4 linked regions of the Saccharomyces cerevisiae S288C genome follow. The gene in region 4 interacts genetically with the main gene of each other region. Each region holds a gene or a part of one and is shown on either strand. Other genes may lie near its edges.

What was found.
Region 1: mutations in BUD8 (region 4) and PNS1 together harm fitness more than expected from each alone (negative genetic interaction), as found in Saccharomyces cerevisiae (2 studies listed by BioGRID).
Region 2: of BUD8 (region 4) and BUD7, changing one enhances a phenotype caused by changing the other (phenotypic enhancement), as found in Saccharomyces cerevisiae (one study listed by BioGRID).
Region 3: mutations in BUD8 (region 4) and PMT6 together harm fitness more than expected from each alone (negative genetic interaction), as found in Saccharomyces cerevisiae (2 studies listed by BioGRID).

What each region holds. Positions count from the first base shown.
Region 1 is NC_001147.6:634,901-642,602, forward strand, and holds PNS1 (Pns1p), read right to left. Parts: upstream 3,659-7,702; coding exon 2,039-3,658; downstream 1-2,038. Other genes in the region: mRNA transport regulator MTR10, read left to right, coding at 1-1,857; YOR161C-C (uncharacterized protein), read right to left, coding at 4,221-4,367; YRR1 (Yrr1p), read right to left, coding at 4,660-7,092. UniProt on the Saccharomyces cerevisiae protein: Probably involved in transport through the plasma membrane.
Region 2 is NC_001147.6:874,418-882,974, forward strand, and holds BUD7 (exomer complex subunit), read left to right. Parts: upstream 1-4,017; coding exon 4,018-6,258; downstream 6,259-8,557. Other genes in the region: TIM18 (Tim18p), read right to left, coding at 326-904; MUM3 (Mum3p), read left to right, coding at 1,182-2,621; MBF1 (multiprotein-bridging factor 1), read right to left, coding at 2,813-3,268; RAX1 (Rax1p), read left to right, coding at 6,548-7,855; YOR302W (uncharacterized protein), read left to right, coding at 8,348-8,425; carbamoyl-phosphate synthase (glutamine-hydrolyzing) CPA1, read left to right, coding at 8,482-8,557. UniProt on the Saccharomyces cerevisiae protein: Member of the CHS5-ARF1P-binding proteins (CHAPS) which mediates export of specific cargo proteins, including chitin synthase CHS3. May be involved in positioning the proximal bud pole signal.
Region 3 is NC_001139.9:891,816-900,281, forward strand, and holds PMT6 (dolichyl-phosphate-mannose-protein mannosyltransferase PMT6), read left to right. Parts: upstream 1-5,686; coding exon 5,687-7,966; downstream 7,967-8,466. Other genes in the region: FYV8 (Fyv8p), read right to left, coding at 1-371; SNG1 (Sng1p), read right to left, coding at 682-2,325; YPP1 (Ypp1p), read left to right, coding at 2,878-5,331; Elongator subunit ELP2, read right to left, coding at 8,089-8,466. UniProt on the Saccharomyces cerevisiae protein: Protein O-mannosyltransferase involved in O-glycosylation which is essential for cell wall rigidity. Transfers mannose from Dol-P-mannose to Ser or Thr residues on proteins.
Region 4 is NC_001144.5:829,829-837,986, reverse strand, and holds BUD8 (Bud8p), read right to left. Parts: upstream 3,636-8,158; coding exon 1,824-3,635; downstream 1-1,823. Other genes in the region: sedoheptulose-7-phosphate:D-glyceraldehyde-3-phosphate transaldolase TAL1, read left to right, coding at 630-1,637; LUG1 (Lug1p), read right to left, coding at 4,448-6,871; NIT3 (putative hydrolase), read left to right, coding at 7,623-8,158. UniProt on the Saccharomyces cerevisiae protein: Involved in positioning the distal bud pole signal.

The sequences.
Region 1 (7,702 bases), on a different chromosome or scaffold from region 4:
TTTAACTTCAAACAAAGTTTAGTTTTGCCAAGATATCAAGAATCAAGAAAAGCTTACTCTGATATTTTTGTTAAATTAATAAATGGTATAATTACTCATTTACAATATCCATCAGGCCAGTTTTCATCTAAAGAGGAAGAAGATAAATTTAAAGATTTCAGGTATCATATGGGCGATGTGTTAAAAGACTGTACTGCAGTGGTGGGAACTTCTGAGGCTTTATCGCAACCACTAATAAGAATTAAGTCCGCAATAGAAAACAACAATAGCTGGCAAATAATGGAAGCCCCATTATTTTCCCTGAGGACTATGGCTAAAGAAATTTCGTTGACTGAAAACACTATATTGCCAGAAATCATTAAAATCATTTGTAACCTTCCAGAGCAGGCCAAGATTAGGTATGCATCAACATTAGTTCTTGGTAGATATACCGAATGGACAGCCAAGCATCCAGAACTACTAGAAGTTCAATTGCAATATATTTTTAACGGTTTTCAACTGCATGAGGGTTCATCGGATATGCAAAGTATAATCACTGCATCATCACATGCATTAATGTTCTTCTGTTCGGACTGCTCTAAACTATTAGTTGGGTATATTGATCAGTTGATTAATTTCTTCCTCAACGTGCAGAGTTCGATTGATATTGAGTCACAATTTGAACTATGTCAAGGATTAAGTGCAGTAATAAATAATCAGCCAGAGGCCAAAGTTTCAGTAATATTTCAAAAGCTCGTAGATGATAATTTGCGACAAATCGAGGCTTTGATTCCTCAATGGAAAGCAAATCCAACGCTCTTGGCTCCACAGATTGCTGATAAGATTGATTTGCTATATGCGCTTTTTGAAGAATTGAAACCGAGATACAATTATCCTCAGCAAGGATCGGAACCTTTACTCCCCAGGATAGAATTTATTTGGAAGGCATTAAGAACTCTGCTAGTTGATGCAGGTGCAATGACTGATAGTATTATCGTAGAAAGAGTAGCTAAATTGCTACGCAGAATTTTTGAGAGATTTCATGTATTTTGCGAGCCAATATTACCTTCTGTTGCCGAATTTCTAATCCAAGGTTATTTAACGACTGGATTCGGTTCCTATCTGTGGTGTTCTGGTTCCCTTATTGTTATATTTGGTGACGATGAATCATTCCCCATATCCCCGAGTCTGAAAGATGCTGTCTGGAAATTTGCCCTCTCCCAATGCGAGACGTTCATACTGAATTTCAACAAGTTTGATAAACTTCAATTAAACGATTATCATGAGGCAATAATCGATTTTTTCTCATTAATTTCAGACTTGATAATGTTTTATCCTGGCGCATTTTTGAATTCAACAGAGCTTCTAGGCCCCGTACTGAATGTTGCCCTCGAGTGTGTTAATAAGCTTGATAACTACGATGCTTACATATGTATCTTGCGTTGCTTAGATGATATCATATCCTGGGGGTTCAAGACTCCACCGATCTCAACAGTGTCCATCGAGATTGTTCCAGATGAATGGAGGAAGCAAGTTATTAACGAAGTCGTGATAGCCCACGGTAACCAATTGATATTAGTGTTATTCATCGGGCTGGTTACTACTTTTGAAAACACCGCTCATTCAGATGCCATCAGTTGTATTGTAAAATGTTTAAGGATATTGACAGAGGCAAACAACAACGATGCCACTATTTGCATCGATTGGATTTACAAAGTGGTGGAACAACTTGGCCAAGTAACCCTTAATGAAAGAGATAATTTGGCGAAGGCCGTGGTTGAGGGGTTGAATTCAAAGGATTACAGAAAGGTGAGGGAAGGAATTAGGGCGTTTGTTGGATGGTATTCAAGAAAGAATATCAATTCGAGGTTTGAATAGTCATTTAATAAATAGCATATTGTTAATCTGCACAGAATGTATAAAAACAAAATAAACAATTTAATAAAGATAGAACTTAAAGGTAATTGAAGTAGAAAAAATTAAGTATTAAAATATTGTAATTAAATATAGAATTGTTAAGAAGAACAAGGAGAAATAGTGACATATGATAAACATCTCTTCACACATTCTGGTGACTCAATTTTCTGAGTACATCAGGATATGCCCTAAAAATCTCATCAAACCTATGAGGGTAAGAATGATGGAAGACCTCCGGGTCATTACCAAGAGCAACAAAGAAAGTTGCAGTACCGGATCTAATGGCTTCTGTTGCAATGTTGCAAATCTGTAAAGCAATAACAAATGAGAATGCCATTAGGGCGCCGTTGTAAGCGCCGTTCGAATTGTATTGAGGCGAGGTAAACCTTAGATACAAGAACGTGAACAAAGCGGTCATATAACTAGCAAACATTGAAAATAGACCCAGTGCAATGTTAATTAAATTATCATTGATTAGGGCGTCCATTCCCTTTTCTCTTAACATATACCAGGTTTCTTTGGCCGCTCTTAAATACGGTTTACCATAAAGAGCGATGAACGAGTATGCATAATGATTGAAATACTCGGCGAGCCACTTCAGAAAGCCGATAATCCAGTCAAACACCATAAACAAAATCTGGATGGCAATTTGACCGCCACCGCTGGAGGTAACATCGTGTCTGATCATTTGCAATATTTGTCTCAACAGGTCGATCAAAGCGACTAGCAAGGACCCAAAGCAAATGGAACCGAACGAGTAAGTCATGGCTCTCTTCAATGCTCCAAATGCGGGCCACCTTGGCATTCCTTGGTCAGACTTTGACATATAATACCAGCTGCCAAAGACGCCAGAAATAACACAATGTATGACGTTTCTTATTACTTCAGAGATATAATAGCCGCAGAAAAAAACCACAACCAAAACACCAATCAATTTGGAATGCGAACAGCTGCCACCAGAAACGTCACAGCCGCCATTCGAGCTATTAGGATCGTACTTTATGTACGTAGCCACAATGACTGCTGAGAAGAGAAACCCAAACGCACTAGCAACTAGCGCTCCAACAAATGAAACAAAGAAGATCTGTGGGCATTTCTTCATGGCATCGACGACGACTTTCAATACCGCCACAGAAAGGGGAATTCTAGACCTCATACCCCAGTAGCACCACGCGGTCATGAACGTGAAGACTAAAAACACAATACCTGCAGACCAGTACCTCAAAGACATGTACATGATGGCAGTCCCAAGAGAAGCCACTAGGTTGATGACCATACCGCAATATATAAACTGCTTCGGAAAAATTCGACAAAGTGTGAGGCCCAAAACGGAGAATACTAGGGCAATAATGCACACGAAAACTAGCAGGATGGCAGCATTGGTGTTCAGCGTACCAGTATTCACACCATCGTATATTCCGGAACCCGTACTGCTATAGGTTTGGGACCACGCTCTTAAGGTTATGGCAGCAATGGCGATGAATCCGCCTACCGTGCATAGGAAAAAAATGGTAAATGGCCAATCGTTCCACCTGGGCTTGTTGTCATTTTCAGTAGGAAAGGCCTCGTCGAAGCTCCCTATAGGAGCCCCACTCGTTTTGGAATTTAGATTGTAATATTGATCCTGTCTAAAATGGTACGGCGTCTGGCCATCGTTGACATTCGCCGCGGCAGAGTTCTCGGAAGAACTGGGCGGCCTATGGTTGGGATCATATGCTGGAGGAGGTTGCGGAGGCCTCTCGTATTTTTCATTCAATGGCATGACGTATTAATGTACCGATAATTATGGTCACTATTGATGGCCCTAATCGGAAATATGCACCTTCAAGTTTTTTATAATGCGCAATTAAAAAAAGTAAGAAAGGAATATAGAAGCATTCAATTGCTATGATTACCAATAAGTAGCGATTACGACTGAACTACATTCAACGAATATCCGCATATCAATATATATATAAGGGCAAGCTACGTATAAGGATATATATGTGATGATAATGTTATATATAGCTGGCAATTACGCCATTACGCAAACAGAAAACCCCTTAAACCCCTCAAGGATCTACCGAAGGAAGAATCCTGTTAGAAGGGAACATACCAACCACAAAAAAAAAGAAAAAAAAGCATTCTGCAGTAATTAGCCGTAGTGGACTTTGTTTTTCTTTCTGCAAATGGCCGTGCGGTGTCGGGCGGGGTCTCTCACTCAGTACCATTACGTGTGATAACTCCGCTGGCGAGGTGCGCCGCTCCCTGCAGGCTCTCCGAGAGGAAATCTCTTCGCGTATGCTTATCCTTCATCAAGACGTCTTGGTAAGGACAACATTGCTCTACAGGATGTCGCCGCGTATGTCGCTCGAAGGGTAGTGAATGGCTGCATGTAGTACATAATTTGCGAAAAACAGTGGGCTTGCCAAAATCTGCCTCAGGTGACAAGCCATTTTTCCAGTGGGATGATCTACTCGTGTGTAAGACATGTCGAAACGCACGCTGTTGCATGAAAAGTAGTCGTACGGTTGTATGTGTGGTGTACGGGTGTAAAAGTAGTCAAGCGTATGGCGGTAAGCAGCGATTCAGCAATTCTATATCTGAATAAAGTGAACTTTTGTACCATCTTTAGTAGCCAGTTGATTCATTTTTTTCTGTCAGGTGCGGCCCATCATCGAAGTGGGTTGATAATCTGGGTAATTATATAAACATTTTGATCATAAAAAAGAACTAAAAAAAGGCTTCAAAGTAGTCGCGCCGCGAGATTGCCTCGACTTAGCATTAATTGTCTTTGTAATCATCGAAAAGAGTGGAAAATTCAGATTGATTAATCAACTCTTCCCAGCCTGAGTTATAATTTGCCCAAAATTCATCTGTCAGCATCTGAATGATCTCTGATTGACTCTTTGCATGGTTCTTAGTTTCACCAGGCGAGGGTAACATTGGAATTATTGAGGGCGTGGGCGTTGGAACTGCAAGGCTGAGATCCCGCTGCCTATCACTCACAATTTTAGCTTCTGATGATGGATTATCGCTCTGCGGATCTAGTTCTTGTTTGATTTGTGCTAGCCATGTTTCCTCGGTCAACTTTCTGAATTCAATAACGTTGCCAAGAATAGTCCTATAGGTCCTTTCAATAGCTAGCTCTATCACAAATTGTGATGATCTATGCATTGTGCGTATTAATTCTTTATTTCCGACCGTGAACAAGCGATCGAAGATTGACGAGTACAAGCTCATTGCTGTACCTAAAGATAGATCCTTGTCTAAAGGAACAGTCAATTTCGTCAAATCCGACCATCCAACTTCCATATCGTTGGATAGACATAGTCCATTTTCGAAAAGCGTCAACTTAAAGTAGATCAGAGAACAAAAAAACACCAATGTTTTGGAAAAAAGCCCTGCCGTGAGGCTCATTGATAACGCCATATGTGGCGGTAAGTGCGGGTTGGAGGCTTCGAATTTCTCTGGGTAAAGTGCTTTGTCGATACGATAGCATCGAATTGTGGTATTCACAATGATGGAAAAATTGATCAAAACCAATTGAAACGTATTATTTTTGGATTCTATGTTTCTGACTTTCAGCACAGAATGTATTAGTGCATAAAACGACAATAATAGTCCGACTGCCATACTTAAAATTCTACTTTCCCTTAATGGAACTTCTTCCGATATATTTTCACCTGTGTAATGTCCAAGTGGACCAAGTTCTTCTTCTACAAAATTGATAATTCGCTTGGAATAAGCTTTCAAATCCGGGAATTTATCTCTATCATAAAGAGTTAACAACATTGGCCTTGTAAGTTTTAAATATCTTTTCAGCTTCCCCTCATATGTTTTACTTTTACTATTCAATATGCAATGATCTTGGTTTTCGTCTAGATAAAATTTGTTAATCAATAAGGGTCTACCAACGTTACAAGATATGTTATAATCGATAAATATTGCCATTAACCAGACATTTTCTAAACTTTCGATGCTACCCATAAAAACCTCATGTTCCTTGAAAGTTTCTCTAATGTTTAAATGCAACCCTATTGTAGTAACCGTAGTAACTAAACATTCATTTATATTAACCAAATCGGAGCCATCTCCACCGAATGAATATGTTTCACGATGGTAGTAGAAAAGTATTAACATTTGTGCACGCTCAATGTAGAACACCTTAGCGGTGGAGGCCCCCTTTAGTAAAGTAAAGAACTTCTCAATTGGGGTTGGGACATCTGTATGGAAGTATTTCAGACATAGGATTAATAGTATCACAGCAGCTTTGTAATAATTTTTCTTTGGATTGGATAAAATATAAACTATGGATCTGTCACCTTCCGCCTTTACCTCTTTTTCGGGCATGAAATAATCTAAAAAGTCTCTTCTAACTTTTGCCTTATCAAGAATCACGTTGATCTCATTGCATGCTCCATCATTAAAGAAATCATCTAAAATAGACAAAGCTTTGTTATATGATGGTAGGAAACGACATATCTGTTTGATTAATGGATCTGGCTGCCAATCCGACTCATCCAAAAGGCCTAGTTCCCTGCACATCGTTTTTTGGTTGTTTTGCTTCCATTTATTTCTTTCTACTTTAACCTTCGCCCATAATTGTTTATATTTTTCAATGAACCCCCAATTACTATTTGCAATTTGGGTTCTCATAGAAGTGGGGCCGTATAGTGTTGATCTTCCGGAATGTTTACTTTGTAGGTAGTACCGGTCGGCATATGGATTTATTACACCATCGGGTAATGGAGATGAAGTTTCAGTAGAACCTCTACCTACACTAGTGCCTAAAGGAGGGAAATTTGGCGAAGTGTACATGGAGCTCGCAGACGAATTAGTGTTTTTTTCAGCTTCTAGAATACGTATTTTGTTTTCTAGTTCTTCAACTTTCTTAAGTAAATCGGCGTTAGGATAGGGACCATAGGTAGCTTTCTTTTCGATGTTTTTGTTGAATTCTTCAGCATATTGACAGGTTGTTAAGTTTCTAGAAATGCATGTAGAACACATAGGTTTTTGCTGATCACAACGAAGTTTTCTCCTTCTGCAAAAGCCACAAGATTTTATAAGCTTGTTTCTCTTCTTACCGCTAGTAGAAGTTGGTGTTCCTGAGTTACTTCCATTGGCTCCACCGGCCGTACTATTACTATTATCGCTTGGCGGCGTAACGTTGGTGGCCTGGAAACTTCCCAACAAAGCATCGCTTCTTCTTTTCATTGTGACGCTATTCTTATTGGCACGGCTGAGGGCAATAAACTTTCCCACTTTCTCGTTGATCTTGTTGTTCCTTTGATCTAACTTTTCTCTTGTAATTCCGAATTTTTGGCGTTTTGGTAATTCCAAGGGGAAGTTGTCTATTACATACGTCTAGTGATGTGGAATACTATAAATGTCTTGGTATTGTTATCCTTTTCCCCGTATATCAGCCTCTACCCCATTAGTAATATGGCATGGAACCTTTTAACGTTTTTCTAATTTCCGCGGATTTAACTCCGTTCACTATGATTTCTGCCAGTATGATACTGGCAGAAATCTACATTCGCTATATATAAAGAGGATATACTGGTAATAACTACAGCTTCCATGTGAGCTTAAAACGATCATGCTCATCTTTCTTCATCTTGATAGAGATTGGTAATGCTGTCATACTCCCGTGATTATAAAGCAGAATGAGAAATATTGAGACAACCGTAAAAACAGCTACTGCCCAGAATTTAAACCTTCAAACTTCATCATCAGAAAGGTATACTGTGTAAATAATGCGTAAATAGTAGGAGCATGGTGTTCTCTTGTCGTTGAAAGAACATCTGCGGCGAGCACGTGCGGC
Region 2 (8,557 bases), on a different chromosome or scaffold from region 4:
AAAAATTCGTTCCTCATCATTAAAGAAACAAAAAGCATACAGATAATAATAAAAAAGGCACTTTAGACAGAATGAGAATACTAGCAATCACGAATTCCTACTTTTCCTTTCTGTATCCCTAGGCGTTTCACTCGACAAGAATTGATCGTCTTGTACCAATCCAAGCAGATCGATATATACATATATATCTGGATTTCGAGAAGAAGGATATATTTTATTGCTTATTTGTCTTTTTATAAAATCTCTCCTAAGTTAAGTTCATGGGGAATCTGACTCTAAAAATGAAATCTTAGAAATGCAAAAAAAAAGAAAAAGTATGGGTGAGTCAGTTTCTTCCAAATATATACAAATGGTCATCATTTTCATTCCAAAGTTTCTTTACCAGGTCAACAAAACCATTATTTTTCGTTTCCAATTCGTAGATACCGTACAGGGACAACATGGATCCTCCATAGAGGCAATAAAGGGCGAGCTTATGCCATCTTGGATACTTTTCCTTCGGTATATAGTCAATAATACAACTTGTGAAGCCATACTGTAAATATATCAAAAAAATGGACGATAAAGACGCATCGAGTAAAGGATTTATAACCCCGCCGGTAAAGGAGGCATAAAAAGGTACCATTGTTAATGGAATCAAAGTATATTTTGCTATTCTCTCATAGTCTTTTTGATAAGAGTCCTTAAATTGAGAGAACTCTGGGGGCTTAAACATCTGCACTGAAGAGGATGCCTCTTTTGACGTATTTGCAATATCGTTTATTTTATTTTCAGCATTTAAACGATTAATGCTATAAAAGGATCTTTTGGTTGAAAGTACTAATCCTGGAAAAACAGCTCGTACAGGATTTACAATGACAGTGGAAGCATTAAGAACAGGCTTCAAGCCAGGAAACAATAGCATTACCAAAGGTATTAAATTACTCAGTTGTTGCACCTCGCATCACCGTTAATTAATGTGTGCATTCCACTGTCTGGAAGTTTTCATTTTTATCCGATCTTTTGCGAGAATGGTTTGTTTTTCAAAAAAACCGAGTGTCAACAAGGCATGTAGCGACACAAAATGAAAAATTGAAAGTTAACAGGGCAAGATATGCACCATAATAGATTCATTGTTAATCTTAATCAAATAAAATTTCTCTTTTCCACACAGAAAACTAAACGAAAGGTATAACTTTAAGATGGGTTTTGTTGATTTCTTCGAAACATATATGGTCGGTTCTAGGGTCCAGTTCAAACAGTTAGATATTTCTGATTGGTTGAGTCTGACCCCAAGGTTGCTTATTCTTTTTGGCTATTTTTACCTTCATTCTTTTTTTACTGCAATCAATCAATTCCTACAGTTCATTAACACGAATTCCTTCTGTCTTAGACTGCATTTACTATATGACAGATTTTGGTCGCATGTGCCCATAATAGGTGAGTACAAAATTCGGCTGCTCTCGAGGGCACTGACATATAGTAAACTGAAAATAATACCAACTTTAGACAAGGTGCTGGAGGCGATTGAAATTTGGTTTCAGCTACATTTAGTTGAAATGACCTTCGAAAAAAAAAAAAACGTCCAAATTTTCATAACCGAGGGAAGTGATGACCTAAACTTTTTTAAAGATAGCAAATTCCAAACCACATTAATGATATGTAATCATCGATCAGTGAATGACTACACATTGATTAATTACCTTTTTCTCAAAAGTTGTCCCACCAAGTTTTATACTAAATGGGAATTTCTACAAAAGCTGAGGAAGGGGGAAGATCTAGCTGAATGGCCTCAGTTAAAATTTCTTGGTTGGGGAAAAATGTTTAACTTTCCTCGATTGGATCTACTAAAGAACATATTCTTCAAAGATGAAACACTCGCACTCTCATCGAATGAGTTAAGAGATATTTTAGAAAGACAAAACAATCAAGCTATTACTATTTTTCCCGAAGTCAATATCATGAGTTTGGAACTATCAATTATTCAAAGAAAATTACACCAAGATTTTCCCTTTGTTATAAACTTCTATAATTTATTATACCCAAGATTTAAAAACTTTACCACTTTGATGGCTGCTTTTTCATCAATTAAAAACATCAAAAGAAAGAAAAACCGTAACAATATAATCAAAGAGGCCCGATACCTGTTTCACAGAGAACTTGACAAATTAGTTCACAAGAGCATGAAAATGGAGTCTTCCAAGGTATCCGATAAGACGACGCCGCCCATGATCGTAGATAATTCATACTTACTTACAAAAAAGGAAGAAATCAGCAGCGGCAAGCCCAAGGTGGTACGAATCAATCCATACATATATGATGTCACCATAATTTATTACCGAGTCAAATATACTGATAGTGGGCATGATCATACCAACGGAGATTTGAGACTTCATAAAGGTTATCAATTAGAGCAAATATCTCCGACAATCTTTGAGATGATTCAACCAGAAATGGAGTCTGAAAACAACATAAAGGATAAGGACCCCATTGTTGTGATGGTAAATGTAAAAAAGCATCAAATTCAACCATTACTCGCATACAATGATGAGAGTTTAGAAAAGTGGCTTGAAAATAGGTGGATAGAAAAAGATAGATTAATCGAGTCCTTGCAAAAAAATATTAAAATTGAGACCAAATAAAGATCCTGAATCATAATATATACGTGTGTACTTCACTTTCTATAGAGGAAAAAAAGCTAAAAAAAAAAAAAAATGATAAAATAAACGAAAAAAACCATAAAACGATCATGATAGAATAATGTACATTATTAAGAATGCTTCATTGATGACATGCAGTGCGAAAAGAAAGGAACAAATGAAAGAAGACCTCTTCATTTCTTCTTTGGAGCTCCCAAAGGCGAACCGATGTTGTTACCTCTCAATTTAACGCCTAAGGCTCTTTCCAACTTAGACAAAACTTGTTGGTTTGGAATAGCTCTAGCGGCTTCATAATCGTTTACCACGGTTGGCTTTTCGTTAATTTTGGTTGCCAAATCCTTCTGCGACATTTTCTTGTCTGTTCTGGCACGCGAGATGGCCCTACCGACATTTGGATCCAATTTCTTGGGTTTGACAATATCTGTCTCACGGTCGACCTTGGTCAACCTCTGACCCTCGTTGTCACCCCTCGTATTGGTTGATCCGTACTTCTTGTCAACGGAAACAACCAACCCCTGTCTTCTTGCAGCATTAATTTGGCCTTGAGATCTGGCAACGTTGGCCCTTGGGCCAGAACCACCAGCTCTTGCTCTGCTACCAATAATAGTATTTGTATCCCAGTCAGACATTTTTCTTTACGATTTTGCTCGTTAACTTTTTTGTTTTCTAGCTTATTAGCTTTTACAGTTATGGAAGCGTAGATTCAACCTTCCCTAACACATGAAACTATTATTGGTTAAGCGACAGGCGCCTTTCCAGCTACCTAATATATACCACCACCGTCAAGGGGCGCCCGTTCATGAAAGAGGCAACGATGGTGATCGATTATTTCCAGGAATTGTTCCATGACGTTCTACGTGGTTCTCTTGGTCGGGTAATACAATCAGGGTAACATAGTCAGGGTAACAGAATCCTTGCTTCTATTACCCTCCAATGCAAAGTTGACTGGCGTACATTTGGGCCAAGTATCAGGCCTACCATCTTTTCATCAGTGTTCGATAAATGAGACGTAGTGACCCAAATTCAGTATGTCTTGATAGCTTAGTAAGACTTATAAGCATTTTCACGCATCTTGGAAGAAAGTTGCGAGCATTGCCTTAAGATTCTGTCATGCGGGTGTCGATAGCGTCACGTGAACACATTCCAAGTCCTTTTTTCTTCACCTTTTTCGGTACCTGGTACCTGAGCCAGGAATAGAAGAAGGATCTGAAAAACGTATGCAAATATAGCAAGAGGGCGTAAGCTTAGCCTCGAGGCAATGGCGTTTTAATTATTTTAAGATTTTTTTTCCATAAATAGTGCTGTTATTAAGTTGAAGTGTTTGAGAAGGGAGTGAGCGCAAAAAAATAAAGAACTAAGGAAGAAGAGCTTCCCTCAGATGATTACGCAGAATTCTATACCAGAGGTAAAAGAAGATTTTATTGGTTATGCTTTACATGAGAGAAGAATTCGGTTACCGCAGTTTCAAGACTTAGGGCCGGCAGACTTGGTCACACTAACAAAGTATTTGCCCACTTCAAGTAACACAAATGCCATAAACAGTACGAGTAGAAATGGTGCGGCCATTATTCAGTCCCCTGCAGCCGTTGTAGCCGATGACTCTGCCGCTTCCATGGCAACCAATGGCGATGCTAGTGACACCGCCGTTACCACAAATTATACAAATGCATCTATATACAGTAGCAGCAGAAATGCCAATGATGGAGCCCCGATGGTCGCTGAGCTCCATCCACTTGATAAACTGAAGGACGAAGTAGGGACATTTTTTTACTCAATGGGTGTCGATACATCCGGTCCAACTTCAATCGCAATTTTTTTGAAGGAGATTTCAGAGGTCATCAGCGAGAAACCCCAAGTTTGGTTTGGCAGGAAGAAAACCTTCAATGTTGCTCGAATTTCATTTTCCACTTGGAATGCGTTCAGGAGATGCGACATAAATGTCGTCGTTCATATTCCAGGATCGATTCAGAACTTTATAGTGGATTGCAACGGTGAAAGTCAAAATATAGAGATGTGTGCGGATTATGACTTAATTTGGGCTGAAACGTTCGTAAGTGGCGTAGTACGGTCAATCATGTTAATGAAGGAAAACGCTGAAGAGGGAGAATTACAAAATTTAGTGGAAACCTTGATTTTGAACCCGTTTACTGCAGGACAAATCGACGATGTACCAGAAATGTTCATTGATCTGTTCCCTATAGTTTACCATAAGGGCCCATTATTGGGAGCTCCGTATTATATTACCAATGTGACGAACACTAATAACTATTTGGTAGAAACACTCGTTGAGATAGTTAAGCTGACTCGTAATGTTAGCAGGGCGGAAATAATGTTGAAGAATCTGGCTACCGACAACCCTGAGGCGATCATAATACTAATCAAGATCTTTTTGGTGTGTGATCAAGAATTAGACGCAATAAAGCTCACATACGATATGCTTTCGCAGGATAAAATAATAAACAACACTAATAACCGCATGGATTATAAATCTGAATTACTGTGCTTACAAGCGCAATTTTTGATAGACAAAAGGCAGGATTACAGCTTGGCGCAAAACATAGCGCAAGAGGCAGTCAATTGTTCTCCCAGTGAATTTAGACCTTGGTATCTTTTATCCAAGGTGTATGTAAAGCTAAATGATATTGAAAATGCCTTACTGATACTGAATTCATGCCCTATGTCTCCATTAAAGGAAAAATACGTACTGAAAAGAGTAGCTCCGTTGCCTTCGAATAATAGTCTTCATTTGCCATTGCCAATTGACGTTGTACTGGATGAAGTGACGTCGTTGAATCCACAAGACGTTCAGAATGAACACCGCTCTGCGGATCCAATGCTGGTCAATTTAGCTGCGTCGAACTTGAAATCTACTTTCCAATTGGCATACCGATTATTGACAGAAATTGTGCAGATCACCGGCTGGGAAAATCTGTTAAAGTACAGATCAAACATTTTCGTTATGGAAGAAGAGTACCAAAAATCATCATCTTCGTTACCAAAGGACGTTAACAAACAAGAAGAACAGCCTCTGAGGGCTAAACGGCTGTGTGAACGATGGTTAGACAACCTCTTCATGCTTTTATATGAAGACCTGAAGATGTATACATTATGGCAAACCGAACAACTGTACATGGATGCACAGAATAACAACCACAATAAGTTGACTTTCGAATGGGAGTTATTTGGCCTTTGTGCACGTCGACTGGGCCATTTCCCTGAGGCCGCCAAGGCCTTCCAGAACGGTTTATCGCAGAGATTTTCATCAAGGTGCGCGAGGAAACTGCTGGAATATTGTATAAACGAACGCCAACGGGTCAAAAATTTTATAAACTCACCTAATTCGCATGACATGGTCCCTGAAATAGTAAGCTCACGCATAAGAGAGCTAGACAATAGCATTATCGACCTTTGCGTGAAGATATGCTGCTGGAACCACCGTTGGTATACGGAATTTTCCATAAGTTTACTTGATTGTTTAAGTGTGGTTATTCAAGATATGAGTCTGACCAAAGTTTCGAATGAAATCTCGTCAAGATATCCAGAAACTGTTCTCAACTTGGTGCAGGAGAATTTGCTCAATTTCTTCACTACTTGCACCATTGGATGCTACGATGCATAAATACGATAAAAAGACATTAATACGTATATATAATCCAAAAAAAATTGGCGATACGCTTCAACGTTGTGTCAAACTCTTGGGTCACTTTAAAGAAAACCCAGCATACATTAATACAGAGCAATGCTGGTTATGTAACTTCGCCGCCCGCCGCCATTCGAGGAAAAATATTCGTGTTTCGAGAATGCGGGCAAAACGAAAATATCAATAAAACACATACGGGAAATTCATTGTGCACAACGACCTCTAACAATTTCTGCCAAAAAGAAAGTTCAAGAGCGTCCCATTCATCATGAAGGAAGAGCTCAGCAAAGTGAGCAGTATGCAAAATTTCGAGATGATCCAGCGTGAACGATTGCCAACATTGTATGAAGTGTTAATACAGAGGACATCGCAGCCAGTTGATCTCTGGACTTTTTATACATTTCTTTCACAATTCCCATATGCCATCAACTATCTGGACTTTTGGGTTGACCTTATGACACATACACGACTTTGCAAAAACTACATAGAGTTGGTAAGAAAATCATTAATCAACTTTCCACAAGAACAACAGCAGAATGGAAGTACATCTACGGCTACATTTGACTTGCTGAACGCACTGATAGAAGAAGGGCACCTAGACCCGGAAGCACCTGATAAACTCTTAGAAAATAGCGGCCCAGACGTGCCCTTTTCACCAAAATTAAACGAATTGCTGGGTGATTGGAAGCACCAATCGGGTATCGGTCAAGAAGCCCTGAGAAACGAAGACGTAGCGCTGATCGTCGACGAGATAATGAAAAGGCGCTCCCAACAAGACGGAAAACCGCAGATAACTACAAAACAACTGCTGCACAGCGCAGTTGGTCTCTGCAACACCTATTTAGTATCGCCCGAACAAAGCGAACGGTACCTGAGCAACATCCCCATGGAAACGCGGAACCGCATAATAGAAAGCGTACAAATCGAGCGAAAGTACGACATTGAGATTTTTGACGACCTAAAAAACCTAACTTACCAATTCCTAGAAATGGATTGTTTCCCAAAATTTCTAAGCCGCGTCGCACTACACAACATCCACGATGAAATATCTGATTGGAGATTCCACTCAGTGGGCGTCACCAACGAAAAAAGCAATCGCTCTCGAGGCCAGACGCACATTTCTCGCTCGCCATTCTCCAATCACACGTCAATCAGTCGTATTGGCTTTGGTTTGCTCTGGCTAGGCATCGGCTTTTGGATCGGATATGTTCTAATCTTCCTGGCGTATAGTCGCGCAATCCGTGTCGTTACGGTCGTGCCATTTACACTGGGATGCTACTGCATTGTGTGTGGCATGTATCAAGTGGACATTGTGTATTCCTGGTTTGGCGTCACACAGAGACTTCTCCACAGACACAAAAACGCTGGCAATGACGAAGGAGATGCTTCTAGTGATACCGATCACGTGCCAATGATACTTGCGGTGTTCGGCGGTAGGCGCCGTCTTACCCGCATAGAGCACCCATTTACTCGGCAGCTTCTACGTAAGCGTGGACTGTGGTGTCTGCTTCTCGTAGTGGGTGCCACTGCCGCATTCACAGTTATTTTCAGCTGTGTTCCCGGCCGTCGTGTATGATGTAATCCATCACCCCCCTATAAAAACACCTGTGCACCGCATATTTCCATAGCGCGTGACGCTAAGTACAAGAAACAGCGAGGGGCCGTTAAGTGCAGGCTTTACCGAGGGCGCCGGCTGGCGCTTCCCGTGGAAGGGTGTTTGACTCATCATCGCATCGCATTACCTCATGATGAGTAAATAGTTGCGATTTCACTTATCACCTCTCGCGGAAAAAAAAGGCGATGACATGATATATAAGGCTCTCTCGTAAGACACTTAACTATCCAACGTTCATTAGATTATTCGGTCAATTTCTTTTTTCATGCCCCTCCTTTTTCTTTTCTTTTCTTGACTCGTCGTTTCTTTTTCTTTTTTTTTTTTTTTTTTTTCTTCAGAACTATAACACATAGATACACTCGAACATCTAATTGTTTAAATACTGCAAAGAATACAAGGTAATCGACTCTTCTACATACCCTTTTTGCAGATTTGAAATAAAAAAAACATTATATGTTTAGCTTATCGAACTCTCAATACACCTGCCAAGACTACATATCTGACCACATCTGGAAAACTAGCTCCCACTAATTTCATTGCTTAATAATCAGAAATTCTATCACAAACCACTCCTAAAAATATTTCAAATGTCCTCCGCTGCAACAAAAGCTACTTTCTGTATCCAAAATGGTCCTTCCTTTGAAGGTATATCTTTTGGTGCAA
Region 3 (8,466 bases), on a different chromosome or scaffold from region 4:
GAGTGCTCGCTGGATTTTTTCGCTTGTAATTCCACAGACTCTCTTGAAGCCATAAGTTTAGGCACCCCATCTGAGAGATAGCCTACTTCCTTGTCACTAGGACTAATATCACTCTTACTGACGTTATTATCATTGCTGTCTTTATTTTCACCCGTATTTTCATCATGCTCACCATTAACATCTGTATAATTGAGCTTGGGTAAACTAGGCAAATTAGATATTTTTTGCTTGTGAATTTCTGAACCTTTTGTGCCATCCTCGGAAGAGTAGTCATATTCGTCACTACTGTCCCATCCAGCGCCGTCATAACTTGCTTGAGATGCGCTAACCCATCTATACGATTTCTTTCTACCGACCTGTTCAGTGCTCATAATAAATATCCGCTTTCCAGAAAAAGGGTAATGATCAAACAGTCCCTTTTAACTATAATGCAAGTTTTGTGTTTACCTTGTTAACCATGTATGAAAGTGGTATTTAGGAATACTTTTAAGTGCCTTACAGAATTCTTGGCATGAGAAAAACAAAATAGCTACCCGGAATGAAACACTAATGTGTCACCAAACAAACAAACGACGTTATATAATTGTTGTGATATTTGCATCTTCATCTTATGATGATGAGAATATAAATAATTTTTAATCGTATTAAGTGTATATATGAATAAGCTATTAACCCTACCCATTAATTTCCGGGCGGGTTGTTATTTTTATCAGTATTGGCCTCTGCCGGGCGGCTAGCACGCTGGGTAGCTGCTGCGACAGCGGCTTCTGCTGCTTGCATAGCATTTTTTTGCATTTTTTTACCTGCAAACTTCATACAAAATGGCATCAAGGATGTATTGAGGGCAACCCATGCCACGAGAATACCGTAATTTCTTCCCATTTTTCTTTTGGTTAAATTCAAAAAAATCACTTTATAGATATCCACGGCATTATGGATTGGCATTATGTAGCCGTACCTGTAAAATTCGTTGTTCAAAACCATTGGGTAGAATGAAGCAGAAATATTTAATATGATCCACGTCATCAACCAAATACTCAGGTATGGAGGGCAGTAAGCTATAACTAAGCTGAGAACGTTTTCATTGGCACCACCAACAGCCATCATTACCAACCACGTAGACATCCAATATACTACGAATCCTCCTCTGCCAAAGGCGGGGGTGAAATCGATCCTAAAAATTGCAGATACGGTACAGAATCCAATGGAAAGAAGAAAATAAGTTGCCCAGGAAATTAGAAGCCTGTAGATTAAAATATGCTTTGGCTTCAGAACTCTGGCCATTTCTCCGTGCAACTTACCATATAATGACAGTTGTAAAACGGTTAACAAAATACAATAAATCAGACCGACCTGCAGAGGGGCCATTAGAATACGATCAGCAAAGGGACGATAATCGTTGTAGGTGAACAACAACTGTCCTGCAATCGCCCAGTTCTCCATGTTTATATTAAGATCTCTGTCATTAGAAGTGATGTTGCTCATCAATGAGGGAAGATATTCCTTGACGTAATATTTCTGAAGGCGGACCTCCAATTGTTGCATGAGTGGTAGAATGGTCGATTTAACACTCGATGGGTCACGACCACTTTCAAACACGGATTCAAAAAAAATTGATGAATTGAACTCCGAGTTTGCGTCTTGGCTAATCAAAGAATTATACAAAGTGTCTGTAGCATTAGGTTTAACGTTTAACGCCAGCCAGTATCTCTCATCGTAAATTAAATCGACTATCTTTCTGTCAATTTCGGTGGAGTTCGTCGTACCAAATTTCCTATGAAATGATGTTGCGTTGTATATATGCCATGTCCCGGGGACAGACGCTAACAATGAGGGTATGATCGCGGAAATAGATTGAACTGAAGTATTAGATGGCGCATCCTGCAATACAACAATATTTTTCACTTTGAAAAAGTAACGATCTGTTCCGTAACAGGCACCCCAGTAAATCGATATGAGCGATACACACACACAAGCAATGAAGAAGTTGTTCAAAACAAACTTCGAGAGAATCTTTTTCCTATGATTTCGCAGTCTTGGAGAAAAAAGCCCTGTTTGAATTCTTGCCAAGGGACCGCCGTCGTTACCGCCCTTCTCTTCCTCATTAGCGCCACCTTCCCCCACAGATGACAATGAGGACGGCTTTTCATCAGGAGGCCGATAGTCTTCTAATGACTTTGCTAAGTCAGAAGAATGGCCGGAACCCTCAGCAAATCGCTGATTACTGTACGAAACCCCGTCCCTGCCGCCAGTAAATGCAGCTGCTGCTGCAAAACTAGGGTCCTCAATGTACTGTGACTCTTCATCACCAACCGATTTAGTCATATTTGTTCTCTGTACGGCTACTTACACTTATGTCAGTACCCGATTCTTACGGCGTATAAAAGATTAAAGAAACAGGATATGTGGCTTGATATATACAAAAAAAAAGAACGATATGGAGTACACTATGTATCTCTCAACAATGCTAAGATATGAAGACGCTTATTGACTACGCCAGTCCGTTTTCCATTCCCTTCTTCGAATAGGGTGGCCCGTTGATGACAAAGCTGCGAGTCATCTATCATCAAACAAACTCACGGCTTTCGCTTTTCTTTAGTCTATTTCGGATTGTACCACCTCCTCGGACATTCATAAAAGGATTCGAAAACGAATAACCACGCATATACACGGAAATAGGAGAAAACTAAACGGGAATCGGTTTATTTTTTTCTCAACATTTCTTTTTCCTGATTTTCCATCCTTTTCGAGATCCACCTATTGTGGTGAAAAATAACGAAAATATGTGCTTTAGGTGTGCAAGGCATAATGTGTGGCATACTGGAAGGAACAAGTTGAACACGCCAGCTGGAAAGAAGTTCAATACCAACTTGCCCAATGCCTAACTCAAATGTTCGGATTCCTCCTACTGTTCCATCGAAGATAATAGATGTGGTCGACCAAGCGCTAAGAGCGCGACTCTTAGGTGGCAGCACCTTCAATTCAGGGTTTGATAGTTTAGATTCCGTACTTAACTTACAGTTTAGACTACATTACCATGTTATTGGATCGAATGGGCCTGCAAAACCAGTTTGTGATGTTTTACTGAAGGAAAGTCAAAATTTAGAAAAGAATATGAGTATGATGGAGGAGTTGAATGACTATCCGGAGATTACAAAACTAGTGGAGAAAATTCTGTTCAATTGCCTCGGTATTCTTTTCTTCCACAGGGGCCAATTTCAGGAATCGCAGCGGTGCTTGCTGCACTCGTTGAAAATTCATAATAACACTGCATCGCAAAAAACAGCACTTATGGAGCAGTATGATAGGTATTTGATCGTAGAAAACCTGTACTACCGTGGTCTAGTTTCGCAAGACATAAATATCATGCAAAATGTTTTTTACAAAGAACTACTGGCCCACGTGGATACGATCCCTCCCGAATCAAACGGTCTTCTTTTCGAATACATCAGCTTGATCGTCGCAAAACTCAGGTTCAATCAAATTCAGGATTTAGCAGAAAATTTTAAAACTACCGTCGAAAATCCTTTTATTCTTTTCCTTTACATGATAAAGAAGTTCCAGTCACCTCTCAAAAAGCACATTGATAATGATGATCTTTATTTGAAGTTCGGACAGAACGTTTTGTTGAAGGCCAAATTTCCTACTGCTAGTGAGACAAATGATGAAGCTTTGGAGCATTTTAATGTCTTTTTGCAGTATTATTTCAAATTCACTCACATAAAAAAAATAAAAGTGAATCCCAGTTGGTATAATTTCATAATATCTTCAATGGAAAAGACTTTTCAAAGTATTGAAGTTTCGAAAACAGCAATGTTTCTTTTCCAAAACCTAAGCGATAACAGTAATGACGAAATAAAGAAGAAGACATTTAAAAGAGAATCTATACTAAATTTTGTTAATTTTGTGAAATACAACGACAAGTACTATCAACTGCACGATAACTCCCACCGTGACATAATTTCATTCATTGATGCGTATTCTTTTATTTTACAAAACTCCTCCAAAACCGATTCAATCGAAAATGTTTTTGATTACGATAATACGGTATCTACGTTTGCGACTTCCTTGAATTCCTTCTACAAAGAATATAATTTGCCATTAATGAGCCAATCAGAATCTTTAGATTGGCTAGAAAACAGCACCAGATGTGTATACCCAGGAAACATTTCGAAAGTTCTAACAAATGCGTGGTCAACATTGTACGAAATCAGAAAATATCAGTTAGATTTTCTTGTATCTAATAATTTGACTTCATATCTATGTAATGCAATGATGCTGTCCACAAAAGAAAAAGACAATGCTGATGTAGAAGAGCAGGAAGAAGGAGAGGAGGAGAAGGCATTACGTGAATTACAATTTAAATATTCTTACACTCTAGCACAACAGAGGCACATTGAAACTGCAATCAAGACTCTAGAATCATTGATATTAAGTAAAAACCCAAATTACTACAAAGCTTGGCATCTATTAGCTCTTTGTAGGTCTGTGCAAGAGGATAAGGAAATGTCGTACAAGATAGTTTGCTCTGTTCTAGAAGCTATGAATGAAAGTCTTCAGAACAATACTTTACTTCTGAATGATAGATGGCAATTTATTCACCTAAAATTAACGCAATTGGCGCTAATTGAAGAAATTTTTGGCACTTTAGAGGCACTGGAGACACTTCCAGAGGTCTTTGAATTATACGCAACATTATTTCCAGATTCACAACCTGAATTGAACAGCATGGGTCCCAAATATTCTCAAACTAAAGAATATCTTTTACAAATGGTGTGGATTTTTGCTGCAAATATGTACATGAGAACAAAAGACAATGATGAGGATGCCAAGGCCGCCATCAAAGAAGCCTCCAATGTCGAAAGTAAATTCAAGAATTTAAATTGTAATATTGCTAACGGTTATTTATCAATAATAAAAGATGAACCAGGCGTGGCATTAAAGGAATTTGAAACAGTTCTGTACTATGATGAGAATAATTTAGATGCCTTGGTCGGATTCGCTGAATTAATTTTCCCTGAAGAACTAGGCGTCGAGGAAACTAATCTTGAGCGTTATTATACTCTCAGCCTTGATAAAAAACCAGGTAAGAGGGCCAAACTTACGTTCGTTAATGACACAGATAGGTCAGCAGCGTATGCAAGACTAAAATTTCTATTGGAGTGCGCAATACTAGAATCGATCGAGGCTTACTATTCCCCAGAAGTTTGGTGGTATTTGTCCCTCATTTACGAGAAATATCAAGATGACGAGTACAAAAACTCTTTGCTAAAATGTATTAAATACCAAGAGTTGAATCCCATTCGCTCCCTAAGGTATTGCAATTACTAACGATAATTCTTCTGATATATACACACACATATATACATATGGGCGCAAGTATATTCTGGTGTAAAGATACTCATAGAAAGCATAAAGATGTAATTCAATCTAGTTGTATTATATTATTCATTGATTTATATTAATTTGATGAACAATGGAACATCTTCTCTTCAATAACGGTTTTGCCCATATACTTGACGTTATTAGGTTACCCGTTTTTATAAATGTAATAAGTTCAATAATTTGAAAAGAGCATTAGCTATAGTCACGTTTCGCGTTGAAACAATTCTTTAAATTATCTTCTCTTGGCAGTTTAATATACCAAACGATAGTCCTAACATACTGTTTTTCTTATTATTTACCAATGAGTAAAGCCAAGGGAACGGGATTTTCATCAATTGATACTGAAGATGAAAACTTACGCGAACGTTATGTTAATCAACCAAAAGCTAATGCCTCCGATATTCAAGATGAACAATTAGATTGCTTTGAGCAACTAGAAGAAAAACATAGGACAAAAAAAAATGAAGAATACACTGCGTTGAAAATTTTAAGGGATGTCATAGGTCCCCTTTTATTAACTATAACTTCGTTTTATCTAAGATTCCAACATATAGATCAGAACAATTATGTTGTCTGGGATGAGGCTCATTTTGGGAAATTCGGATCATACTACATCAAACATGAGTACTACCACGATGTCCACCCTCCACTTGGTAAAATGCTTATTGCATTGAGCGAATGGATGGCAGGATTTGACGGTCAATTTGACTTTTCCTCTAATAATGCATATCCGGAAAACGTAAACTTTAAACTAATGAGACAATTTAATGCCACATTTGGAGCTCTATGTACACCAGTAGCTTTCTTTACAGCCAAATGGATGGGGTTCAATTATTTTACTGTTTATTTGATTGCTACGATGGTAACGTTGGAACATTCATATATTGTCCTCTCAAAATTCATATTGCTAGATTCAATGCTGCTTTTTTTCTCGATGACGACTTTTGCCTGTATGATAAAGTTGTATACGTTGAGAAAGCAACAAATGACGAAAAAATGGTCGTTATGGATGTTATTAACTGGTTTATCTATTGGTTGCGTTTGTTCTGTGAAATGGGTTGGTCTTTTTATCACAGTTGTAGTCGGCCTCTACACATGTATAGAACTATTTTTGCTCTATTGTGATAAAGAATTGCCTAGAATAAAATATTACAAACATTGGCTTATCAGAATCATTAATCTGATAGTAATTCCTTTTCTTATCTATCTCTATTGCTTCAAAATTCACTTTGTGTTGTTGTACAAATCTGGCACGGGGGATTCTACTACAAATACGTTATTTCAGATAAACTTGGAGGGAACTCAGATTGAGGCGGGTCCTCGTGATGTAGCATTTGGGTCAGAGTTAACCATAAGGTCGCATGGTTTAAGCCCGAATCTGCTGCATTCACATATTCAAGTATACCCAGAAGGCTCTGGACAGCGCCAAATCACTGGATATGGATTCGCAGACTCTAATAATGTTTGGAAGTTTGAATTTTCTAGGTCTTCTGGATTGGAACTAGATCAGAACGGGACTTTGAATGGCAAAATAATCCCAATAACGGATGGTGTGGAAGTTCGTCTCAGCCATAAAAATACAGGATCGAATCTTCACTCGCATGATGTACCTTCTCACGTCTCTAGAGGAAATTATGAGGTTTCAGGCTATGGGTCACAAAGTGTTGGCGATGAAAAGGATGATTGGATAGTGGAGATTGTGAAACAAATGGATTCACCAAATCCCGTCTATTCTAATGAGAATTCAACTATTTTACATCCAGTTTCTACTTTCTTCAGGTTGAGACACAAAGTTTTAGGTTGTTACTTGGCTTCTACTGGATTGACGTATCCAGCTTGGGGATTTAAACAAGCTGAAATCGTCTGCAAAGACTCCTGGAGTCGTAGGGACAAATCGACCTGGTGGAATGTAGAAGATCACTGGAACCACAATTTAGAAACCGCAGAAGATTACGTTCCACCAAAATCCAATTTTTGGACCGATTTTATTCTAACTAATTTTGCCATGGCCTCCTCTAATAACGCGTTAGTGCCTGATGAGGATAAATATGATAGTTTATCGTCTGATGCATGGGAATGGCCAACCTTGCATAAAGGGCTAAGAATGTGTTCATGGGCGGGATATATCACTCGATATTACTTGATGGGATCTCCCTTCAATACATGGATTTCTACTGTCTCCTTAATCATCTTCCCATTTATTATTCTTTTTATATTATATCGTTGGAGGAGACAAACGCTTTATCTCTCAGACGATCAAATCTGGCAAATAACGATACAGGGTATTTTTCCTTTCATTTCCTGGATGACACATTATCTGCCTTTTGCAATGATGGGGAGAGTGACGTATGTACATCACTACGTTCCCGCTTTATATTTTGCAATGCTTGTTTTCGGATTTGTGCTTGATTTCACTTTGACAAGAGTCCATTGGATGGTCAAATATCCCATCTATTTGTCATTGTTTGGCGGATGTATATACATTTATAATTTATTTGCTCCAATATGTCAGGGTATGCATGGTGATAAAGCGGAATACTTACCTTTGCAGTGGTTATCTACTTGGGATATCGCACCTTAGTAAAAAAAAAAAAAACTCCAACTCCTTTACACAGAATCACGAAAATTGTAAATAATAATGCCAAATAAAGGCATTAACTTATTATCCTCTTCTTTTCACATGAGAAATGATATAGATATTGCCTATTCATATGCTAATGAGTATATACGGGTGGACAAATCACTACTTCCTACACCTAAAAATAATTTACCGTTTCTCTTTAAATGTGACCACCTCAATCTTGTAATTTTGTCTGCTGGTGTTATATCCTCGTTTAGCTGCGTTATTAACTCAAACTTTCCCAAAGTATAACTGTATAAATAAATCTCACCGTTTTCAAGACCCACCGATATCAAAATTTTCTCTCTTATCATGCTGTCATGTATGGAAATAGCAGTGACAGCTTTAGTGTGTTTAATTGATGCTTCCAGAACGTAGTCATCAGCTGGCTCCTTTTGGTGCCTCCATACTTTGACAGTTTTATCCCTGGACGCGGTGACAAAAACATTACCAAACTCTAA
Region 4 (8,158 bases):
CCAATTTCACATTTAAGATTTTTTTTTTTTCATCCGACATACATCTGTACACTAGGAAGCCCTGTTTTTCTGAAGCAGCTTCAAATATATATATTTTTTACATATTTATTATGATTCAATGAACAATCTAATTAAATCGAAAACAAGAACCGAAACGCGAATAAATAATTTATTTAGATGGTGACAAGTGTATAAGTCCTCATCGGGACAGCTACGATTTCTCTTTCGGTTTTGGCTGAGCTACTGGTTGCTGTGACGCAGCGGCATTAGCGCGGCGTTATGAGCTACCCTCGTGGCCTGAAAGATGGCGGGAATAAAGCGGAACTAAAAATTACTGACTGAGCCATATTGAGGTCAATTTGTCAACTCGTCAAGTCACGTTTGGTGGACGGCCCCTTTCCAACGAATCGTATATACTAACATGCGCGCGCTTCCTATATACACATATACATATATATATATATATATATGTGTGCGTGTATGTGTACACCTGTATTTAATTTCCTTACTCGCGGGTTTTTCTTTTTTCTCAATTCTTGGCTTCCTCTTTCTCGAGTATATAATTTTTCAGGTAAAATTTAGTACGATAGTAAAATACTTCTCGAACTCGTCACATATACGTGTACATAATGTCTGAACCAGCTCAAAAGAAACAAAAGGTTGCTAACAACTCTCTAGAACAATTGAAAGCCTCCGGCACTGTCGTTGTTGCCGACACTGGTGATTTCGGCTCTATTGCCAAGTTTCAACCTCAAGACTCCACAACTAACCCATCATTGATCTTGGCTGCTGCCAAGCAACCAACTTACGCCAAGTTGATCGATGTTGCCGTGGAATACGGTAAGAAGCATGGTAAGACCACCGAAGAACAAGTCGAAAATGCTGTGGACAGATTGTTAGTCGAATTCGGTAAGGAGATCTTAAAGATTGTTCCAGGCAGAGTCTCCACCGAAGTTGATGCTAGATTGTCTTTTGACACTCAAGCTACCATTGAAAAGGCTAGACATATCATTAAATTGTTTGAACAAGAAGGTGTCTCCAAGGAAAGAGTCCTTATTAAAATTGCTTCCACTTGGGAAGGTATTCAAGCTGCCAAAGAATTGGAAGAAAAGGACGGTATCCACTGTAATTTGACTCTATTATTCTCCTTCGTTCAAGCAGTTGCCTGTGCCGAGGCCCAAGTTACTTTGATTTCCCCATTTGTTGGTAGAATTCTAGACTGGTACAAATCCAGCACTGGTAAAGATTACAAGGGTGAAGCCGACCCAGGTGTTATTTCCGTCAAGAAAATCTACAACTACTACAAGAAGTACGGTTACAAGACTATTGTTATGGGTGCTTCTTTCAGAAGCACTGACGAAATCAAAAACTTGGCTGGTGTTGACTATCTAACAATTTCTCCAGCTTTATTGGACAAGTTGATGAACAGTACTGAACCTTTCCCAAGAGTTTTGGACCCTGTCTCCGCTAAGAAGGAAGCCGGCGACAAGATTTCTTACATCAGCGACGAATCTAAATTCAGATTCGACTTGAATGAAGACGCTATGGCCACTGAAAAATTGTCCGAAGGTATCAGAAAATTCTCTGCCGATATTGTTACTCTATTCGACTTGATTGAAAAGAAAGTTACCGCTTAAGGAAGTATCTCGGAAATATTAATTTAGGCCATGTCCTTATGCACGTTTCTTTTGATACTTACGGGTACATGTACACAAGTATATCTATATATATAAATTAATGAAAATCCCCTATTTATATATATGACTTTAACGAGACAGAACAGTTTTTTATTTTTTATCCTATTTGATGAATGATACAGTTTCTTATTCACGTGTTATACCCACACCAAATCCAATAGCAATACCGGCCATCACAATCACTGTTTCGGCAGCCCCTAAGATCAGACAAAACATCCGGAACCACCTTAAATCAACGTCCCATATGAATCCTTGCAGCAAAGCCGCTCGGTGTTCTTTATTCATAAGCAACCTCATTAATCTATAGTCTGAAACTAATTTCCTTCTTGAGCTGCAGCCAATAATAAAAAATAATGGCGGCACTATACTACAACATAGGAGGATCACAATGATGTTTTCGATGCTGTAAACGTCCCTGAATCCATTTTGACCTGAATCAAACGAATGAATGGAAGCGGTATCGATATGTTGAATTGGCATTCTCGCCTCCAGGTCTATATTTTCAGCATCGTGCCTGTCTTCTTTCCTATTATCAGTTTTTTCTTGTTGCTTTCGTCGTATGCTTCGAGCTGGCTTTTCTATAATGGAGTTCTGTCCCGTGTCTGACTCCGAGCTTTGAGATTTAATTGGAGCTAGCACGAGGGGTTGTCCATGTTCTGGCAACGTTTTATTTTTCTTCTTGTTCATCTTGGTCAATGGAGAGGGCGTCTTGTGTCCTTCATAGCGTGAAAATGGATCAGACTTAGTTGAATTTCCAGATTCTAAGCGTAAAGGTGTCTTCGTCCATTTGCTTGGTCCGGACACACTTCTTAATACGGGAATTGAAGGTAGTCCAATTGGTGGACCTTCTTCTTCTAGGGATGTGGAGGGCTTGCGCGTAGATTTTGAACTGAATTTTTCTTCATTATTATGCCCTATATGGTCTTTAGGAGAACTTTCGTTACTACTGTCACTATTGTGTGAAGGAATCAATATGTTACCAATTAACGATGGACTCTGAGGAATTTTAATCTTCCTTGCCGACGTACCTGGCGCACCTGGCGAATGCGAATCATCACTTGTCGACGACTTTATTGATCCAGCCTTCTCTGGAATTTTTAGTTTGTGCGGTATAAATTTTGATTCATTCACAGGTTCGTATTGATCTATGACTTCATCCTCGGTCTCGCCTTCACCTTTACTGCCAGTTGAGCTTATAAAATTAACATTAGAAGTTTTATTCTTCGTTAGCCTCACTGCCTCTTCAACATCTGGTTCTAAGGTGTCATCGTAATGGTATGAGAAAAATGAGTGTTCCGTTGTTTCATTAGGTTCAATTGAGGTAGGACGTGGAGGTGTTCCATTCTTTGACTCGTCGTTCCCGCGATTCGCCAAAGATGAGTATAATGAAGATACGACCCTACTATGCTCTTGCTCTATAGGGCTTCCTTCAACATCTTCTCCCATAAGAACTGAAGTTGATATTGTCAGTGCGCAACTTAATCTCTGCGAAGATGGTGAATTCACTGCTCTTTCTGGCCGTACCGCCGCGTTTTGTGAAGGAGTTACGTTCCTTAACGGTACGGTATCCTCGTTGTCTCGTCGAAGTGAAGTTGGCCTTACAGTAGTGTTGCTTGGTATATTATTATCTTGGGTATCGTGAAATTGTGTAATAGAGGACGAGTTGCTACTAGAGCTAGAGCTTGTGGATGCTCCCATTATTTGAGAAAACCTTTCATTGTTGATGTATACAGCAAATCCTTGACCTCTACTTGTGGTTTCATAGGCAACAGTAGCCATCTCTGTCTCCGCATCGGGGTTCCCATGTGCTCCATTAAGATTTTCAAAAAACAAGGATGTTCTTAGTTGTAGTCTGGATGATACAGAGGAAGTACCACTATATGAAGTTGATGCTGTCGTTTCAGAAGAGTCCAAATTATCTTCGTCTGATTGTATCATACTTCATGTAGAATCGAAAAAATTCTCAAGTAGAAAGAGGATATTGGGTATTGTCAAAAATGCTTCGATTCAAGAAAGAAACTCCTAGAGTTAAGAGAAAGTTATAGTCTAAATTGAATTAAAATAAGCGAATGTAATTGGATTTATTATCTTATCAAAAGAATGAAAAGTATACCGGTAATCGCCTAGAAATAAAAATCGTCAATAATGAATATTAAAAAAGCAATTGAATGGTCTTTCTTTTGTTAACTAGAAGTTCGAACAAAACAGAGGTCGCGACTGGAAAGCTTCCAGTTGTTTTTGGATATCTTTATTATTTTCCTTCCTAAACCAATTGCCTGTTCTTAGTATGGGGTATTGATAATTGATGGAAGGTGATTGAAAATTATAATGAATTTTGCAGGTATCGCTTACGCGCAATAAAAAAACACACCACAATGAACTTAATCCTACTCTTATTAGCGTCAGGACTATCCGGTTTGGCCTCTCTAGTAAGCGGATGAGTAAATCATTTTCTAATTGTTTTTTTATTCTCTCTTTTGGATCATTTTTCGCAATGTTTACCTTTTTCGGAGGAGAGAGGCTTCCCTTATGAAAAAAAAAAAAATGGAAAACTTAAAAATCACATTGCGTTTCGAGGCATTCTTCAATCAGTTGATAGGGGAAGGGAATTTGCTGCAATCATTAAATTCGTTTCCGAAAAGTCTGGCTAAATGGTAGACGATGTATGCAATATTTTACCATATATAGAAATCATATACAAGACACAAGACGAGAGCGGAGGAAGGGTAAGGAAGTAAAGAGAAAAATATCTATGCTTTTAAACTGTAGTATCTATACATTCCACGCTCAATGCACCCAAAAACTTGATATTCGTTGACTATTTCAAAATGTAATCTATATCTTTGAGTCGTCAGAGGATCCTTTGGATCATAGACAAATTCATCGGGATGCGTGAAATAATAATTCTTACGCTTGTGAAGGTGGTTGAAGTGGGAGAAGGATAGAAACGATGCCGAGGACGAGTGTTCACCAGTTAAACTTGGTCTTGTTTTATTTCCTGAACGTGAGCGCGAACTTTCAAATAAGTGAAGTTGGGACCTTCTCCGTTGCAAGTCGGGATCGTGCAAATATTCGTCGTCAGTCTCTTCAAAGTTTGCGATTGTTCTTAGTTCCTGCTGCTCATCAGCTAACTCCTGAATTCTTTGTTCTTGCAATGATAGCTCACGTAAATCATGGACCGACCTATCCCAGTACAAACCATCCCTGATTTGAGATGCAGGAGAAACATTGATAGCAAAGGGGTTGGCAGAGGAAGAACCATTGTTGCTTCTTAAAGTGGGTCTGCTCAACAGAGAATTCCTTCTTGGGATGGCATTCACGTGATTTTGGCTATCTTCCACATGACTGTTGTTGTCGTCCTCATTATGGATGATTCTCCACCCACCACGAGGTAATGTTGGGGTAATTATTGGTAGTGGAGTATCACCAAGGCTGATCGCACCTTTTCTATTTAAGAATTGAGAAACTGGTGGCTTTAAATCTCTGTAACATAGTTTACGTCTAATACCACTTTGAGGAACTAGACCACATCCAAGCATGATTTTACTTTGGGCAAACTTTAGGAAATCCGGCTGGTTTATAATTTCTATGATTTTGTGACCCTCAAAATCATACCTAGTTAAATTTGACTTAGAATCCAAGTCATCACGATTCAGGAAAGGATCAGTCTTATATAACCAATATCTCCTACCATAAGAAGAATCAATGTAACATTTCCACTTTACTTGTTCTGCTGTTGAAATATCTTTAATTACCGAATTTGGGTTTTTATATCTGTATGCAATAATTTCATGTCTATCATTTAGTTTTTCAATCTGTTGCCACGAGTCAAAGGAAACTTCTAACGCGACTAAACTTGGAGAACAAGTGTACAATAATGAGTCCTGAATAGTCCATTTATTCACATAAGAGTTACCAGAAATATTCAAAAACTTCAATTTTTGAGCACAATTAGGATGGTCTTGATCAATTGGTGTCAAAAATTCTACGAGCGTAGATATCGGGATACTATTACCTTTTATACTCAAACTTTTTAACTTCGGAAAATTCCACTTTATGAACTGTAAGCTATCGCGGCATTGGTAATAATAAGTGGATTCGCTAATAGGGTCCTCGCCGAAAGAAGGTGCAACATGAAGCGGTAAACCGCCGATATTTAGATATTGCAAAGTTTTGTTATGGCCATGTTGACAAAGTTTTTTTAGTAAAAACATTGTGTGCACCTCATTCCAAGATGAGGAATGGGCAATGACACTAACATTCAGCCATTCTAATGTAGAAGTGTTGTCAGGGTCTGTAATTGTTGGGTGATGACTAAAAAACTCCAGAACCGCTCTTGGAGTAACTTGAAGACAAGTAGCGAGGGAAAGATGAGTTAAATTTTTCCAGTGAGGTATGCCGTGATATAAGGTACTATCATCAATGGAGGTATGAGATAAATCAAGTTTTTGTAGTTCTGGTAACATTTTTAAGATCTTCCAAAGGACGTGTGATGGTAGATCAATACAATCATTTAGGCCTAAGCAGGTAATCTGATAATTTTGTTGAATAGGTTCCAGCCGGTACTGATCAATCGATTTATTAGGGTAGTATTTATCCAGGGCCTTAATAAAACTTTCTGTGAAAGTGGTGCCTGAACAGCCACAGAAATCCACTACACTCAAGACTTTTCCTGGAGATAGAATATACTTTATGATATTATCGTCTAAATCGTCTTGAATATTTTCACATGCTAAGAATTCCCTTAAGTTTGCTTTTGTGAGCATTAGAAACTCAAGAAGAGTTTCGTTAGTTAGATTTTTAATCATTTTATTCATCTCACTGGACCTCCCCAGTCCAATAGACGTTAATTCTTGGAAATCGGCTACTTCAATCTTATTGCAAAGGCATCTATTTCCCTTTAAAGTCTGTAAAAGACCGTGAAATCTCTTTGCGGTAGTTAAATTACAATATCTATAAATGAGAACTTGACAAATATGGGAGAATGTCTTATTAACAGTTAAATTACTTTTGACAAATGTAGTTAAGTTTTCGTTAAACTTTTCTGCCGTACCTGGATGGTCATTTCTTAACAAATCCCTAAACTGGTATGTAAGTATTTGGTACACAATTTCTGGAGGAATAGCCGCTCCCAAAGATTGGCTTGACAAGGTCTTGGACTTCAAATCTGGCATTTGGCTTCTTCCGACTCTGTTGTTTCCTATTGTTTCTAATAGGGTACGTACTGCCACGTATTTAATGAGCTGAATAAGATCACAGTTTTAGTATTGCCCCAACCTTATAAGCGCTAGTTAGATATAAAAGGATAAGGGTAGCAATATAAATACAACTTAGTTGGTGGTAAGAGTAATGTCTACAACTTTTAAGAATTGTCGGATCACTACTTCATCAGATGAGGAGGGGAGGGTACACCAAATTCCACCTCTAATTCAATGAGCCATGTGAAATAGCGCGGGTAACATACCTCCGTGAGGCATCCTTTTATTTGACTCTAATGGGGAATTGTACAAATTGGCTTCAAGAATTGAGTAAACGGGGAAGGAATAGTACAAAGTTGGTGCCATAGTACGTGTGATGGAAAAAAACTATCGCTGAACAGGAACTTAAGTAGCTACAGCGGCTATTTTATACGCTCGAACGCACAAATTGATAAAAAAAAATTCTTGACTGTAGACTGTGTATTGATAAAACAAATCCACGAGCTGAAGGTAACACAATTGACATGCAAAGCACAAGGCCACTAATTTGGAATCGTCCCGCTCTGCTTTCTGAAACCATGCGGGCCTTATCAATGCACAGATACGTCATCAGGTACGAACACGATATTAAAATTATCAATAATGTTGTATGATATCTTGCTAACTTAATTTGATTCTTGTAAAAACACAGCTTTTGTAGTAGCAGGAGGGCGTGAAGATCGCCAGTATGAGTGCTTCGAAGATTCTTTCACAAAAAATTAAAGTTGCGTTGGTCCAACTGTCAGGCTCGAGTCCTGACAAAATGGCCAATCTTCAAAGGGCTGCAACGTTCATTGAAAGGGCTATGAAGGAACAGCCGGATACCAAGTTGGTCGTATTGCCAGAATGCTTCAATTCTCCGTACTCCACTGATCAGTTTAGAAAGTATTCAGAAGTTATCAATCCGAAAGAGCCTTCGACGTCAGTTCAATTTCTGTCTAATTTAGCCAATAAGTTTAAAATCATCTTGGTAGGAGGAACAATTCCGGAATTGGATCCAAAGACAGACAAAATCTACAACACCTCTATAATTTTCAACGAGGATGGCAAGTTGATTGACAAGCATCGGAAGGTCCATCTTTTCGATGTAGACATTCCTAACGGTATATCGTTCCATGAAAGTGAAACCTTGAGCCCTGGAGAGAAGTCTACTACCATTGACACGAAATATGGTAAGTTTGGCGTAGGTATATGCTATGACATGAGGTTTCCGGAACTCGCAAT